3 linked regions of the Caenorhabditis elegans genome follow. The protein of the gene in region 1 interacts with the protein of each later gene in a pairwise test. Each region holds a gene or a part of one and is shown in the gene's direction. Other genes may lie near its edges.

Region 1 (4,803 bases):
ATTTTCATTATCCTTTTCTAAAAACACTAAATTTAAAAATTAATTTATTAATAATTCAACCTAAAACTACAGATAATTAATGGAAAAAAAATTAAAGAAAAAATGGAAATCTGGAGATTTTTAAGATCCTAGACAAACTTTCCAAAATAAGTTAGATCGGAAATTATTGTTACACAGAGGCGACTGTGTGTTATTGGAAAAAATTCGAAAAATGTTAAATGTAACATCTGAGAAATTTTAAGTCATAAATTTCACTTCAGTGCTGTGAATTTCTTATAAAAATTTCCCCAAGAAACAAGATCAAAAAATTCTTGAACCCTTTTTATTGCCTGGACTCCAAATTTTGCAATTCCTGCGACTAAAATACGGTACCCGGTCTCAATGCGACATTTTTGTTAAACTCGAAAAAGTGTTCGCCTTTAAAGTTGTAACGGAATTGCTCTTACATTTTGTGCATAAAATATTTTTATTTATAGGAATCTCAAACATATGTAAAATCGGTGAAAATTCTACAACGATTTTATTACAGTACTCTTTAAAGGAGCACACCTTGTCGAATTTAGCAGGAAACAAAAATTTGTCGTGTCGAGACCGGGTACCGTGTTTTTGGCGTAAATGTCGTCAAATAAGAATGAGCGCGAGTTCAAAGTTAACATTTTTTGGAAACAGGCTAAACAATTATTCGAAAATTTGAAAAAATTGAATCATCAAACAACAAGTTTTATTTTGTTTTGAAAATGTTTGATCTATGATCGGCTATGCCTTTGACCATATATTAATACCAAATACAAAAAAAAAAGATGAAACTCGGTCAGAGAACAGAATTATCACAGGAAATGAGATTTCCTGATTGGGAGTCTATACCTTGAATGTACATGTTCGCAATTTTATTACCTATTTTTTGGAATGGGAACTGGTTTTTTCTCGAAACCTTTGACCAAAGGAAACATCTAGAAAAATGAAATCAGCACATTTTTTGAGAGCAATTTAGAAAAGAAAAGACAATAAAATGAAACAAATTTCAATGTTTTTTTCTCGACTCTATTGTTAATATACTCTGAAGCGTAACAAAGGTGTGAATAGTGGATCTCCTATTGATCGGCAGGAATGACACGGAAGATGAGACGGACAGCCGGGAGAAAAAAGATATTACGGAAGATTTTGAGACGCAGATTGATGGGAATTGGACTTGTGACTTCTTGTTTTCCGGAGATTCTTTACTATATCATAATTTTATTGACAGATATCCTTCACTGGTGGGCTGAAAATATAATAGAGTCCCCAGAAATACGGCACCGGGTCTCGTCGCGAAACACCATCATTAAATAGAAAAGTGAGTGTGCCTTTAGAGATTACTGTAATTTCTTTTTATTGATTTACGAAAAAATAATTTTCCACTAATTTTTCGATGAAGAACTTTTTATTTTTCGAAAAGTTTACAAAAAAAACTTTAATACATCCACTGAAACAAAAATTTGAAGTTACAGTACTCTTTAAAGGCACACACCTTTTTGTGTGCGAAAATTTGACGAGACCTGCTACCGTATTCTTTGGGAAAAATCATGAAATTTATCTGGCCAGATCTGGACAATTATAATTAAAAAAATATATTTTCAGGAAAATCTGATTGAATATTGGAAATCGTTGTTTATTCTCAGAGATTATTATTTGCAAAATCTGCATTTATATGTCTAAATAACACTAGCTAGTGCACTAGGCTAAAAATTGAAAGATTCATTATTTCAAAATTTGCAAAATTTTACCTCCACCGAGGTCTGAGTTGAGTAAAAACATTTTGTTCACATTTTCGCGATTGAATTGATTATTTAAAAAATTAAGCACTAATAAAATATATTTTTAACGTCGAATATTAAAATTTTTCCAAGAACTTTGTTCTCCAGAATTGTTCATCTCGAAATCTGCAGCATCTCTGGTGCCAGCAAGTGCGCTCCAATGCGAACATTTCATTTAAATTTTTTTTTTTTCGTTCTTTTTTTAACAGATTTTATCAATTTTTTGCGATTTTCATTATTTTTTCAAGTAAAAAACATATTTAATGTTATTTCTTATATTTCACAATATTAATTCAACTATTAAAAAACAATTGCATCGATTTCTGGGTGGGTTATCATGCGAAACCGATAAAAACCGTTATTATTATTATTATAATGACTCATAAGTTTCTCCAAGGAATTCGAATTCTGCTTTCACATTCCTTTCCGACCGTTCACTTTCTTCCTATATTTACTCTCCTCGTTTTCCTCTGTATTTCTCCAACTTTTCGCCTTATTATCTGCGTCTCTCTCCGCTTTTGATTTCTGTATGTATTTGCGATGCAAATCGATCGTATGCGGGTTTTTCCTTTTTTAACACAGCTTTCTCCTCTTAAAATTCACTCAAAAATCATGATTTTCATTTCAGCAGTTTCACAATGAACGAAGAGGGTGGATATCTTGGAGCGATGACATATCAATGCCTGTACAGTCCTGTGATGGAAAAAATTAAGTGGGTTTCAAGAAATATCAGTTTTTAAACATAATAATTTAAAAAATATATTTTAGACAGCAACATCGTGATGATCCAAGAGCTTCTCTCGCCCTAAACGTAAGCTATTCTATATAAGAATATTTTCTATGAATTTTATACTGTTAAACGAAAAAAAATAAATTAACAAAGAATTATTCAGAAACTGCACACTGCACTGACCACTTGTGAACAAGCTTCTCCGTCGTTTCTCTATGATTTCACAAAAGTTTTGCTGGATGACTCGGAATTGAGCGTTAATCTGCAGGAATCCTATCTGAGAATGCATGACACCTCGCCGACAAATGATTTGATTGTCAGTGGATATGAGCAGAATGCTGATTATAAAGAGCTCACGAAACGGTAATCAAATTAGATAATTTTTTTCAAAATTCCTGGCGTACGAAAAAAATTACAGAGCAATCGAGCTTCGTCGTGTTCTGTCCCGGGTTCCCGAAGAAATGTCGGATCGTCACGCCTTCCTGGAGACCATCAAGCTCATCGCATCATCAATCAAGAAACTTCTTGAGGCAATAAACGCCGTCTACAGAATTGTTCCACTCACTGCGCAGCCGGCCGTTGAGAAACGTAAACGGGAATTTGTGCACTACTCGAAAAGATTCAGTAACACTTTGAAGACGTATTTTAAAGATCAGAATGCAAATCAGGTTCGTGGGAAAAAATGTGCTTTTTTACTTAAATGCGTCGAAATTTGTCCTTGACTCCGAATATCTATGTGAAAAATTCAAAAGCCCCGGTTTTTCTGGGAAAAAATTCGCACTGAAATATAAAATCAGGGAGATTTTTTTTTAATTTTTTCACATCGATATTCGGCAAATTTGGACTTTTTTTTAAAATAAAAACCTGTAAATTTTCCCCAAATCTTGGGAAAATCAAACTAAATTCTTGAATAATATTAAAATCCATTTTTTTAAAACAAATTCTGAGCCTAAATTCAATGTTTGCAGGTATCCGTGTCCGCCAACCAACTGGTTTTCCAAACGACAATGATAGTCCGCACAATCAACGAAAAACTTCGCCGAGGATAAGCTCACCCATATGGCGGCTTATAACTGTGATCTACTAGACGGCTCTTTCCTTTTGCATGTGTTTTACTTTCATTTTTTGTTCACTTAATTTCTTGTTCTCATCCACACACTCATCACTTTATACATCGGATCTGCACACTTTCTTCTTTCTATGATTTTTCCTTTCCCAATTTTCTGTTTATTGACTGAAATTTTAGGAAAATGATTAACGTATTATGCTTTATATGGTTTTTCGGATTTTTTTCACTTCAAAAATATTGTAATAAGTAGCTCAATTATCATTCTTCCTTTCTTTTTCATGTGCCTTTCTTTGATTTTTCCTCGTTTTTTCACCCACTGATGTACTAGATTTTTTTCCATAAGTCGGTTTCTTCTCCAAATAACGTGATAAATTATTCAGAAATTTTTAATATTTTAATTGACTGTATTGCAATTCTTGTTGTCGAAAACTTATTATATATCTAATTAACTTCACTTTAAAAAATTTCAGACCAATTTTAAATTAATTTCAGAATTTAAAAAATGGATGACGAAGAGGATCTGTTCGGCTCGGATGCCGAAGATGACAAGGAGAAGGTGGTAAATCCGGAGGATAAGAAGCACGTGCTGAGACGAGATTTGAGATCAATGGTCTATGGCTTTGGAGATGATAAGGTTGGTAACAGGGCTGTGCAACTTTTTGAATCAAAATTTATTTGCATTTCTATAACAAATTAAAAAGAAATTAAATGAGCGGTTTTTCTAAGATTCCGATTGATAATTTCCTGAATTGTTTATAAATAAATGTTTCAGGAGCCATACGACAAGACCCTGGACACTCTTGAGGCCATTGTCCTAAACTACATCAAAGAGTTATGCCAACTGGCGATGAAAGTTGGAAAACCGGATAAAATGGCACTTGAGGACATTCACTATCTGATTCGTCGTGATCCGAAGAAGTTCTCGAGAGTCAAGGATCTGTTGTCAATGTCGGAAGAGTTGAAGAAGGCAAGAAAGCAGTTCGAAGATATGAAACCACAATTGTAAATTTGTATTGATCTCGGTTATTTGAATTTTATATTATTGAAACCCCCATCATGAATGTTTTTCTTTGAACGTATAGTATTTACAGAAATCCAAGTAAAACGACAGAAGACAACTTTTCAGGCAATTTTAAATGCGTACTTGTCAGGAAAAATAAAAACACAAATGCACCTGCGACAACGTAGACATCCTGCCATGCAAATTGTAT
Region 2 (6,395 bases), on another chromosome or scaffold:
TTTCAAAACTTTCAAGCTTTGCAAATTCTTAAAAAATGGAACACGCCTTTAACTCTTTTCCCCCTATTCATAAAGATTTCTCCGGTGCGGAATAACAATATCTCTCTTCCGGACGGACACGCACATCACTTTTATATTTGGAAGGAAAAAATGTTCCGTGTTTCCAAAATTAGTACCAACCGCTCTCTACTCGAAAACGGAGTATAGAAGAGGAGTTCAAAATGAAAAATTGAAGACACTTTGTCATTGGCTTTATGGGTTTGTTACTGAAGAGTAGGGGCAGCTGGAGGAGGAGGAGAACAAGAAACATCATTTTCTCGTATTTTCGACAAGGACATGCAACATTGTTCTTTCTTGCAAAAATGGGAATATTTTTTGATTTGCAAACCTCCTAATCGGCATGTTAACGGCTGAAGCGTTTTGAGGGTGTCTCTCACTCGCCCTTTTAACGGTAATCTTGTGTGTCATGTATTGTCACATATTTTAAACCATCAGTATATTTTGTGTTTTTATTATTTAATTGAATTTTTTTAAAGGTAATTTCCGGCCTAGAGTGAGGCGAGGCTGGTAAAAAACTAAAATGAAATTTCAATTCTGATTTCACGGCTGAACTTTTATCGGATCTTTTTCTGAAATTTTATAACAAAATCCCAACATCGAAAAACTTTATGTTTTTAAAAAATTGTTGAAGCTTTATCTATCCGTCTCCCGCGAAAAAAATTCCTAAGAAGTCCCGCCGCTTATTGGCTTAGCCAAATTTTTTCGTTTTTTTTTTCGATTCATATTTTAGGGCTCCCGCTGGAAATTTTTCGGAATACACTATTTTTTTGTGGTCAAAATTTGAGAACATCTGTTACTCTTTAATAAATTCTAGTTCACATAAAAAATTTGAATTGTATTCCAATCATCGTGCACTTCATTTCAATCACCCACCAGAACTCCCACCTGAATTCAATGAATACTCAGAACGAGTAGAACTTCATATTCAAATTGAATAAACTTTCAGGTTTCTTTTTTGAATACCCAAATAAAGAGATTCAAAGAGGGAGGTGTAACGGGAAGATATTTTTGGTTTTGAATCTGAATAGCTATTATTTTCAAAAAATGATCAAAATAACTTTATTTTGTTAAGGCTGATAATAGAGAAAATATTGGTATTTGGCATTGGGCACATTTTTTTATATCTAAAACTAAAAAGTTAACTTTTTTGTTACGAAATTAGATTTTTTAACATTAGGAACAATAAAGTTTGTCGGTTTTCTTTCAAGTGGACCCGCCTGCCTGTCTTTTAGTCGACATATAGGCTTGCTCTTGCCTTTGCAATTTTGTCAGTTTTCAAGAAATACTGTAAGATTTTATATTTTGAATACCTTCTTAGAATCCCAGGTTTCCTAAAATATCGTATGCGATTTAGATTAGTTTCTGAAATCACAAAAAAAAATCTCTTTACGAGTTCCTAGAGCAGTATTACCAAATATTTCTATTTCAGTGAGTATATACCTATTTACGTGGGCTTTAATGACTTTCAATTATATATTTCTGATTTGTTTTATTAGAATGGGGAAAACGAGAACTCATTGAAACAAAACACATGAAAATTGATCTTGTCAAAAATATTGCAGAAATTTGAGCAAATTGGCAAGATGTGTGGGTGATCTGCTCAAAAAATGTCCTTCTGAGAGAGAAAAAACTAAATTAAAAAGTCATCATAGGCAATTTCATTTTGTCGAGAAATACCATAAATTTTTGGCTACATTTAAAGATTTTTTTAGAAGAATTATATTTTTCTCGCGTTTTTTACCCATTTGCATGTGAATTTTAGAATGAGTTTTTTGCTATTTTTTCGAATTCTCGGCACATGGAAAAATTTGCGTTAATCAATTTTTCTTTATTTCGGTTTCGAGTTTTTTCTCCTGTTTTCCATAAAAATTATAATTTCACTGTACATTTTCCAAATATCTTTCCGATTTTTCCATTTATCAAATCATGAAAAATTTTCCGCGACATATTTAGCACCTAAAAAATATAAGACGGTTAGGCGCGAGGCGGCCAGTTAAAAAGGACTTGAAAGACGGCTTTGTGACGACCAATCTTTAAAATGTTTTCAATAACAAAACCCATAAAGGTGTATTGTCCAAAAAGATTATGACTATTTAGAGGATTATTTAAATCTGATTTTTAAAATAATTGAAGAATTATGTTATTTTTTGGATTTTTAAAAAGTTTTTTTTATACCGGTAAATTCCATTTTTCTTTCCTATTCCTCCTACAATTTGAACTACGATTTTTTCAAAATCTCAATATAAAGTAGATCCTAAATACTTCCTACAGTACCACCATATTTCCCTGAATACTTCCTGATTTTCAAATAAATCTACATAGTAAAGTGCCCCCAACCTACCGAACCCATCATTATCACTTCGAGTCTTCAAAGTGCTCACACGTCATTCTTAAATGTGTGTGTATGTGTGTGCTCAGACTCCGCCCATACGTGTGCTCTCCATTCTCTCTCAGGACTCCGCCCCCATCAAGGCTCACTTCTTTTTCTGGTCTCGTTTCCAGAGAAAAACCCAGCAGCATCGTCTGAAGAAGGGTGAAACATTTTTTGTTTCAAAGAAGAAAAAAATGAATCAATTTTATGCACTATTCCTTGTCGCCTGTATTGCAGCAATGGCAAATGCCTATGAGGTGAGTTAAGATCGGAAAAATATAAATAATCTAAGATCATATTTCTTTCCGCTTCTAAAATTTGTGTGCTGAATTTCTTGAAGCGGAAGGTTCAACTTTTTCGAAAAACGAACAAAATATTATTTGTGCCCCTCCCCCCTGTGCCACCAGGCTCGAAATGAAGCCAATCGTGTGCAAAATAATAGAAAAGGCGCCACCTATAAAATGTGTTTTCGTAAATAAATTTCAAAGTGACTTTCAAGTGTATCTTTGAATTTTTAACAGTAGGCGAATCCTGCCTATTTTTCAAATGTAGGCGTGCCTGCATGTCTGTTAATTACCTAAATTTTGGAAGGTGCTTGTGTAATATACCTGCCCCCGTGGAAATGGTTTGCATTTTTAGGCTTACATTGAAAAAACAGTATTTCTAACATAGAAAGTCTAATAAGTAAGCCTAATTTGGACCAACATGGTCATTAAAATTTTAAAAATGGCTAACATTTTTGGGGCAAAAGACATACCTCAATTTAAGCTGAATTCTGTGAATTTTATTTTTTTAATAGCCCGAATAGAATATTTGTTTTCAAACACAAGATTAGTTTATTTCTCTTCAAAGAAACGTTGAGTCTGGAACGAAATAGCTGAAAAAAAAACGAAATTCGAAATTCTAGGGCTTCGTCTCGTCATCCACTTTCCTAATAATTTGTCGCGATGATTAATTTTTGGAAGCCCATTTTTACCATTTTTAAAAGTTATTACCCCTATCGCAGAATTTAGGTGTGATGAGCATGGTCCGACAGCTACCGGGTTTCGCGCCAAATTATAAAGCATGCGTGTTTTAAGAGGTTAAAAATAGTGCGGCGCGGAACCGGGCAGTTGTCGGCCGAACTTAGAAATTTGAGATTTGTTCAGAAAATGCCACCAGGCTATCCGAATTTTTTCGAAGTTTTTTGACCTACGTGGATATCCGCGCCTTTACATTAACCAACTTAAAGTTTACATATTCTATAACTTCCTTATAGTTTCAACACCTATTTTCATCCAGTAGCAACATCCGTTTTATGTAATACTTTGAAAATGTTAAAGTGAGCCACTAATGAGCACAAGGATTACATTCTTCGTCGTCACCCTTCTCCTTTTATTTTGCTGCTTTCGATGCTTCAGAGTGATGCTCTTGTGCTCAGTCTACCGTTCAAAATCAAATTTTAAGATTCTTCTATCTCTTTTTCGTACAAAAAGTTGATTAAAGTGATGATGACATCATTCAAAGTCACGAGAAGTTTAAAATTGATTGAATAAACAAAACAAAAATCCGTAAGAAAACCTAGACATACCCTATTGGGAGATCGCAGGGCTCACGGGTTGCTCCTGCTACTGCTCGACGACAAAAATCTCATTAGTTTTTATTGGTGCGGCGGGTGTAGATTTGCGGCGTTGATTATACGTGGGAATATGTTAAATTACATACATACTTGAGCTCTATTTTTCAGGAGCCAGATTTGGATGCACTCGCCGAGTTCTGTGGAAAGGAATCGAATCGAAAGTACTGTGATCAAATTGCACAACTCGCCACTCAGCACGCAATCGGTATTAATCAGGTGAGAATGATGACGTCATACTGGGACCTTGAGATATTGGCGGCCACGGTCGCATTGACATTAATATATTCTATATTCTTGAAATAATTTTTTGAAAATTAAAGACAAACTCAAATGTAATGTCCTATTCTAAAACTATGGCCAATTCCATTTTACTTACAAAAAATTCAAATTAGCGCTCAATAAATGCGCCGACCAATCAGCGACCTTGGTCACGCCTTTTGCACGTCGCTGATTGGTCGGCGTTTCGTTTTTTTTAAATTTTAGCGGGATATATTGAAGTTTCAATAATGAAATTTATCTTCTAAAAAACACATTTTGAGGAAAATTTTCGACTGAATAACTTTTTGCACATTTTCGGAATTGGGGAGAAAAACATCTAAGAATAAAATAAGAAAAGGAGCTCCTCAAAAATTGATAAATTCCAAAAATACACGCTTCTCTGAAATGTTAAATTGTGACTAGAAGCACTGAATAATTATAAAGTTCATGTTATAGAATTAGAAAAATTATGATTTAATTTAATAAGAATATGGTAACGGCCTCAACGCGACAGAAAATGTTTTAATGGAGGCTACGAAAAGTGTATGCGCCTTTAAAACATTATTTTTTACACACTATTTTCGAGAGCCTTACTTTACATTTTTTAACGTTTCTAGATCAGAAATGCCGTTGAAAATGTTATATATTATTTGCTTTTTCAGTTAAAGGAAGTTTTAAAATTATAATTTTTGAAAAATCGTAAGAAAAACTAAAAATGGTCATCTCGTGACTTTCAAAAATAAATAAAAACGTCTCGTCTAAAAATTGCGGAATTCCCCACAACTGATAATGAGAAAATATTAATTCTGCCACCAAACCTATAACTTCTTGTATTTATCTAAACAATTCAAGAATTTTCTAATTTGCAGGAGCAAGTCCGAATGGAAAAGCGGAAGCCGTCGTTCGTCCGTTTCGGAAAACGTTCAGGATACCCGCTGGTAATTGATGACGAGGAAATGCGTATGGACAAGAGAAAGCCATCATTTGTTCGATTTGGAAGAAAGTAGATAGATATGTCTTGTTGATTATTCTGGAAACATCTTGGATCTATTTTTGATCTCTCTCTCTCTCTCACACACAGCTGCTCACTACGTTTTCTTCTCGATTGTTCCCATCTAGATTTCTGGCCCTCATACCGTTCATTCATTCTTCTCTCCCATCCCCTTACCCCTCTTCAACTTTTATGGTAACCTGAGAATTTGTGAAAATCAAAAAAAAATCAAGTTTTCATGTTGATATGTGCAATAAAATGTGTTACATGTGTGTGCGTTGGTGCCATTTGAATCAGGAAATTTTTATCATTTTTTTATTTCAAAAGGAATTGCTATTATAAAGGATTATCTCAACAAAACATAAAGATTGAGTTGTTTGCTTTTCACTGAAAAAAACTGAAAATTTGAGAAAAAAAAATCGAAAAATCTGAACTCCCGCGCAGAACAGAAAGCGTCGACCAATCAGCGACAGAGACAACGCCCCTTACGCATCGCTCATTGGTAAGCGAAATAGAGTTTGAGCCTTTAAATGTAAGGTGTACAGTAGTTTCCATTTATACATTTTTGTCTGGAAACCTAATTAAAGCATGGTGAACTAGAAAATTGCATTGCGAAATGTCTAAAAAAAAGTTTTTTTACTGCAAAAGAAATTACTGTACTCCTTAAAGGCACACACTTTTTTTTCCAAATTTTTGTGTCTATCGTTGCATTGGGTTCTCAGTTTTGTGCTCAAATAAAAATAGATTCAATCTTTCAGTGATGCCTGTAATTATTTGAACATTTTAGGAAAAATTGTATTTCTAGATAATTATTATTTTTTGAATATCCCCTTTCGTGTTTCATACCTAACAATATTCCTTCGCGCGGGAATTTAATGATCAGCAAACTTTAAAGTTTTACACACTTTAAGGATGACTTCTTTCTGAATACTTGGGAAAAACAATACTTGATACATGTGTGGGTGTTTTGGTGTCATTTAAACCAGAACATCTTTATCTCAAGTATCGTTAAAAATCTAAATTAGCTTTTTTGAAAAAGATTACTATAAGATGGATTATTTGAACAAAACATAAAGCTTAGAAAGAGCAAAAGTCGT
Region 3 (5,831 bases), on another chromosome or scaffold:
ATTTTTCTGAAAATGTGGGAATTTATGTTATCAAATATGGTCTTTCATTTGACAATACTTTTAAAAAGTTTTGACCACTCCATGTATCCCAGCTCGGTGCCACTTTTTTTCAGGCGTCGGCCCGATTTCGCTTCTTTTTAACTTTCATTTGAGACTTATGTGCGGATTTTGATTAATTAAGTATACATTGTAAGAATACAATAATAATTTGAGAAAAAACTCGTTCAAAAATGTTTTTAGTGGATCGTCAAAAAAATCTTCGAAACAATTTTTGTCGAAAATTCTTGATTTTTTGTACAGAAATGATACAACCAAGTTTGAGTAATTTTTCAACATACAAAACATTTCAATTTAATGCTTCACACACAAGCGGTAATGGAAAATATTATCTTTGAGTGCGTTTTTTGAAATTTTTGAGAATTTCTCCAAATCTAAACATTAAATTCAAATGTTTAGTATGTTGAAAAATTTTTTAGATTTGGTTGCATCATTCCTGTACAAAAAATCAAGAATTTTCGACAAAAATTTTTTCGAAGATTTTTTCGACGATCCACAAAAAAAAATTTTTTGAACGAGTTTTTTCTCAAATTATTATTGTATTTTTACAATGTATACTTAATCAATCGAAATCCGCACATAAGTCTCAAATGAAAGTTAAAAAGAAGCGAAATCGGGCAGACGCCTGAAAAAAAGTGGCTCCGAGCTGGGATACATGGAGTGGTCAAAATGTTTTGAAAGCACCGTTAAATGGAAGACCATGTTTGATAACATAAATTCCCATATTTTCAGAAAAATTGATTTGCCACGAAAAAAGTTATGAATTTTGACCCGGAACTTATTGACACCCCTAATAGTAGAACTGAAAATACTGTTTCACGACAATATTAAAAGTGGAGTATCAAATGTATACTTAATGTAATAATGCATCTTTGCTCATAAGTTTTTTATTATTTTTTTCTTGGAACTCAAAAATCTACTTTGGTTTTTTATCCTGGAATTGCTAATTTATTTCGGCAATTTCCTTCCACTCAAAAAAAAGCAACCAAAAATTAGAATTATGTTCTCTAATAGTCTTACAGTTTCTAATAATGTTGCGTCGCAAAAAAATGCGGAATTAAACATTGCATGTCATTAAGAAAATACGATATTTTATATTCCGTTACAAATGGGATTCAAGAGTTATACACTACAGACATTATGATAAACTTGATTATAAAAACTTGATGAAACAGTAGAAAAATAATGTAATTAACTCTTATTTCCACCTCGAATTGCTCCTCGTGAGCTTCCTCCACAAAAAAGAGCTTCACCCCAAAAATGGCAATAATCAAGCTTCCACCATATTCCAGGTGGTCAACACCTGTTCTTCTATCCCGACCCCCTTATTTCACGCGCACCTCTTCCATACAATGCCGGTGTACCGGTAAATTGCGTATTCCATCGCATTCATACCTCTTTCTCTCTTTTTCTTTTCCAGGGGTCCTCTGCCTGCTTATTCTCTCAGTTTCCTGTGCGGAATAAAATCGGAGAGGGCGGAGTCTCCGCCATGCGGGGGGCGCGCGCGTGTAACGAAGAAGAGGTAAATGACTGTGCGGAAAGGAGGGCGAAATGTATGAAATAGTGATGATTTACGAGAGAGCACAGACACTTTTTGCCTCTGGACGGATTGAAGAGAGGTGGATGGAGACGAAGAGAGGGCCGCCCTGAGAAGAGACAGACGCCTCACCATTCATACCTCCTTTTTTACCAATGAAATCGCCTTCTTTTTTTTCTTTTGTTATTTATAAAGATGAAAAAGATTCCAAATTCTGGAACACTATCCCCAAACTTTTTGGTATTTTAATTATTTAACTTTTCGCGTTCTATTTTCACTGCCACCATGTATCCTAGATTTCTAGACTTCTCATGTTTCTACACCTCAATAGCTTCAGCTCTGTAAAAAATAGTTTAAGACCCGTATTTTCTCAGTTTGTTTGTGCCGTTTCACTCTATGCATTTATCCCTTGGGTAATATCAACAATAGTTGTGTTTTCATAGGACTGTTTTATCACCTCTGATTTATTTGTAAAGGTACATACCGAAGATTAATCAAAAAGCTTTCTTAAATTTTTTAAATTTCATCAAAAAATGGATTTTTTTTTCGGAATCAGTAGTTGTTTCATGTTACATAATTTGAAATTTATGTTTGTATTTTTTTGGTAAGTCATAACTTTTTAAAAATTCAAACTTTTTTTTTCTGTTTCATCAATGTTGTGAGAATAGTTTCTGCTTCCAAATATTAATTGTTTTTTTTTTGAAAGTTACGTTTTTTGTTATTTCATTCTATTTAGCACATCTAACAGTTCCTACGTGTTGTATTTATTTCAAAGTTATCATGAAACAGTAAATTTTTTAAAAAAATTAATTTTTTCTGGACAATATTTTCGACGATTCTAATTTTCCTCTCGAATCTATTTTTTTCAATTCAAAAAATAATTTTTAGATGGGAAACCGAAGCTCGTCACACTACCCGCCTCCTCCGCATTGGATGCATCAAAGGACATCCTATTCAACAACTACTTCTCCATATCCAGAAGCAAAACAAAGACCAATTGCTCCAGGAGCATTCGCTGAACCTTATATGCATCACAATCCACATCATCCACAATCAAAAGCTCAAATGAGACGATCAATGATCTCTCTGAATGCAGATTCTGGATACATGGGAGGCCCTGATTCTGAAAGGTTACGACAAATGAGAGGATCAAGAATGTCATTGAATCAAATTGATTTCGAACCAGCAATGATGCCTCCACCTAGGATATTGATACCTCCTGATGCAAAGACATTGAAGAAATTGGAGAAGATGGAGAAGAAGCATCAGAAATTAATGAAGAAATTGGGAGCAAGAGGAATTCCGATTCAGATGCCTGTTCCACCACCACCACCAATGCATCCAATGTACTCCAGAGCTATAAGCTATGATGATTTACACAGGTTAGTTTGGTTACTGTTTCAATATTTTCTCTTGTAAATATCAAATCATCTACACAGTTAACTTTGCTGCTATAAAAGGATCAAGAAAAAATTGACGAGTTGGAAAATAGTATTTATTTTTGTTTAAAAGTTAGAAAAAAATCTGAAAAACCTTTCTGGCACTTTCCGGGTTTTTTGACAGAAATAAATCTTATTTTTGAATCGATCAAATATTTTCCCATATTTCGTCTAATAATGATAATTTTTGTCACGCTGACAACGAGTTACTGTAACTCATATCGATTTATGGGTCGATACTTTTTTAGACTGAAATTAAAAAATTTCTGCAAAGATTTCTTATGTAGAAGTATTGTGCAATAGACTATAAAGTTCTCATTTTTAGACTGGAACAGATTCGTAAATTTATTACTGTTTCCCTGTTTTCTTTTTGCAAACCAGGCAACTCTTAAAAGCTATTGGGAATGATAAATGAATGAAGAAATACATGAAACATTTTGATAAACTTGAAAGTAATATTTATTCTTGTTCAAAATGGAAAAAAATCTGAAAAACCGCTTGAAGTTTGATGTTTTCCCAAAAATTTAAAGAACAACTTTCAGAAATTTTTTGAGTTTTTTTCGAGTTGCTCCACAACTTTTTTCTACTAAAAAGTTTGGATTATCATTTTGAAATAATAAATTTTGCCGCACAAGCCCAGGTTAAAATATAACTCTCCCAAAAACTTTCCCTAGACAATATATTCAAATAATTAACGCACTTTTCTCCCGTTTCACCGTTCGTTCAATTGAGTACTCTTTTTTGTCAACTTGACCTTCTTCTCTTCATAGGATTATTATACCTCTAACTTCTTCAACCTTCTTTTTTCCAGCCTTTGAGAAAGATGAATGTCTCTTCTCTTCTTCTTAAGGGGGAAACTTTTCTACTTTCCAGTTTGCCCAGAAAACAAAAAAGAAGCCTCTTCTTCTGTGGTTATTATGAAACATACACCACAACATTCGGTGAAACAAAAAAAGGGGAAAAACTTGTTATCCACGGCCCCATATACCTTTCTTCCATCACTTTCTCTTCAGTTATGACACCATAAAATATGATGATTTGGTGTAGTGTTCTTTAAACAAATGATCGTTCTCTTTTTCTCTTTTGATATCATTTTGATATCATGTAAGGGTATAGCTAATCACCTTTTATCATTTCTATTAGCTTCTTATCACTCCAAAACGAGAGGTTCTATTTACTGTACGGATATGTATTGGGAGAGAAATGACAGGTGGCTCACTTCCACCAAATATTGAGACACGTCAAGGTTGGACATAAGACGAGGAAGGTCAATTTTTGAAGGTAGAAACGGGGAATGAATACCAACTTTTCCCCTATATGTGAGCGGTTTCTATTCTTGTGGACAACGTAATTAAGATGTATTATGGGAGGTCGAGATGTGTTGATGTGTGAATGTGTTTTGATTTTGGTTACCTGTTGTAAATTCCTTGTTGTTATTCTCGATACAAGAAAGTAACATTTATAATGGGAAGCTGAAACACGATATTCATTTTTTTTAATTTAATGTTTCACAGAATAAACAAAGGTTGTCTTGAAAAAAATTATCTACTAGATAACCGATCAAATCTTGCAACGCTTTCTGAAACAGGAATATATTGACAACTTTCCTGAATTTAAAACTGACAATTTCTTGTAAATTGGCACCACCGAATTGCAAGCATCTATTTTTCGAAAAAAATAAAATTCTATATTTTTTTCTTCAAAGACTAAATAAAAATTATTTCGTTAATCTTAAAATAACGTTCATTTTAGTGAACCCTAATTTGAAAATGTGCTCAAAAAATCCTGAAAATTATGTTTTCGAGTTTTTTTTAACGCTTTTAAAAACTTTTTGTTAATTTTCAACTGAACTTGCTGCCATTTTCAGCTTAACCAAGTACTTTTTTGTAATCGAAACTGAATTCTAATGAAACTTATTGAAAATTTGGTAGAGTTAGTGAAAAATTACTGCTAGAATAAGTGGATACGTTATAAATTGAGAAAAAACTTTTTTAAAAATTGTTTTTAAATAATTTTCGTTTAATGTTTCAACGTTTCTATAAGTTTCGAATTTTTTACAAGATCTCGATTGATAGCTTTCATCTATTCAACAGGACTTCCATGGTAAACATGAGTTGTTTCAAGTCCTGCCTGGTGCCTGGTGCCACACGTGTATTATCAACAAAAAAAAACGTAGGTCGCCTTCATGTCAGGCAGGCAGTTTTGGCGCCTACATGAAAGCCCTACACTCTCTCCGTTGCATTGTACACAAAAACCGAACACATTTGCACCTATTTGGACACATTTGACCTGCGATCTCCGTTCATTTGAGATTGTTTCGGTCAACAAATACATACACGTAAATGCAAATGTGTAGAAGGTGTCAAAGCGGAACATTGTTTGCTCGGAAGAAGAATAAGATGAAGGACTCTCATTACTGTTTGTATGTGTGTGTGTGTAGTATGTCTGAACCATTTACCGCCACCTTTATGAGTTTCTTGGAGAAGGAACGGGGTGTTTTTGGGTGAATTTGATGTTTTTAATAGATTTTTACAAAAAATTTATTTACAGTTTCTCAAAAAAATGAAGATATCTTCAAACAAGATATCAGTAATTGTTTGCCAGATTTATATTTGCACTTTATTCTTCTTCCGGGTGTACAATTTCCAATTGATATAGGGCAATCACACATACCTTGTGATAATCATTATCAATGATAATGAAGCGGCTCGTCGCGCGCGGCGTGATCAAATAAGCTTCTGGGTCTGTAGCTCCGCGAGCATGACCACTCACACTTCACACACACACACACACACACA

Evidence for each region.
Region 2: the proteins of ccm-3 (region 1) and flp-9 interact in a two-hybrid assay, tested with the Caenorhabditis elegans proteins (one large-scale study listed by BioGRID).
Region 3: the proteins of ccm-3 (region 1) and C06E7.4 interact in a two-hybrid assay, tested with the Caenorhabditis elegans proteins (one large-scale study listed by BioGRID).

What each region holds. Positions count from the first base shown.
Region 1 is NC_003280.10:10,604,894-10,609,696, reverse strand, and holds ccm-3 (Programmed cell death protein 10 homolog), read left to right. Parts: upstream 1-2,421; 5' UTR 2,422-2,431; coding exon 2,432-2,505; intron 2,506-2,561; coding exon 2,562-2,604; intron 2,605-2,686; coding exon 2,687-2,886; intron 2,887-2,941; coding exon 2,942-3,191; intron 3,192-3,491; coding exon 3,492-3,572; 3' UTR 3,573-3,980; downstream 3,981-4,803. Other genes in the region: taf-13 (Transcription initiation factor TFIID subunit 13), read left to right, coding at 4,095-4,226, 4,365-4,598. UniProt on the Caenorhabditis elegans protein: Involved in excretory canal elongation during postembryonic development. Plays a role in promoting Golgi stability, ER integrity and vesicle transport probably by regulating the activation of Rho GTPase cdc-42. Involved in fertility.
Region 2 is NC_003282.8:12,753,733-12,760,127, reverse strand, and holds flp-9 (KPSFVRF-amide 2), read left to right. Parts: upstream 1-2,557; 5' UTR 2,558-2,625; coding exon 2,626-2,688; intron 2,689-4,157; coding exon 4,158-4,265; intron 4,266-5,176; coding exon 5,177-5,314; 3' UTR 5,315-5,570; downstream 5,571-6,395. UniProt on the Caenorhabditis elegans protein: FMRFamides and FMRFamide-like peptides are neuropeptides. KPSFVRF-amide: Has no effect on somatic body wall muscle, inhibits contraction of vaginal vera muscle, and inhibits the activity of the dissected pharyngeal myogenic muscle system.
Region 3 is NC_003282.8:5,856,628-5,862,458, reverse strand, and holds the start of C06E7.4 (SH2 domain-containing protein), read left to right. Parts: upstream 1-2,482; coding exon 2,483-2,976; intron 2,977-3,432; exon of another isoform or gene 3,433-3,453; intron 3,454-3,842; exon of another isoform or gene 3,843-4,127; intron 4,128-4,445; exon of another isoform or gene 4,446-4,469; intron 4,470-4,582; exon of another isoform or gene 4,583-4,603; intron 4,604-5,101; exon of another isoform or gene 5,102-5,123; intron 5,124-5,831.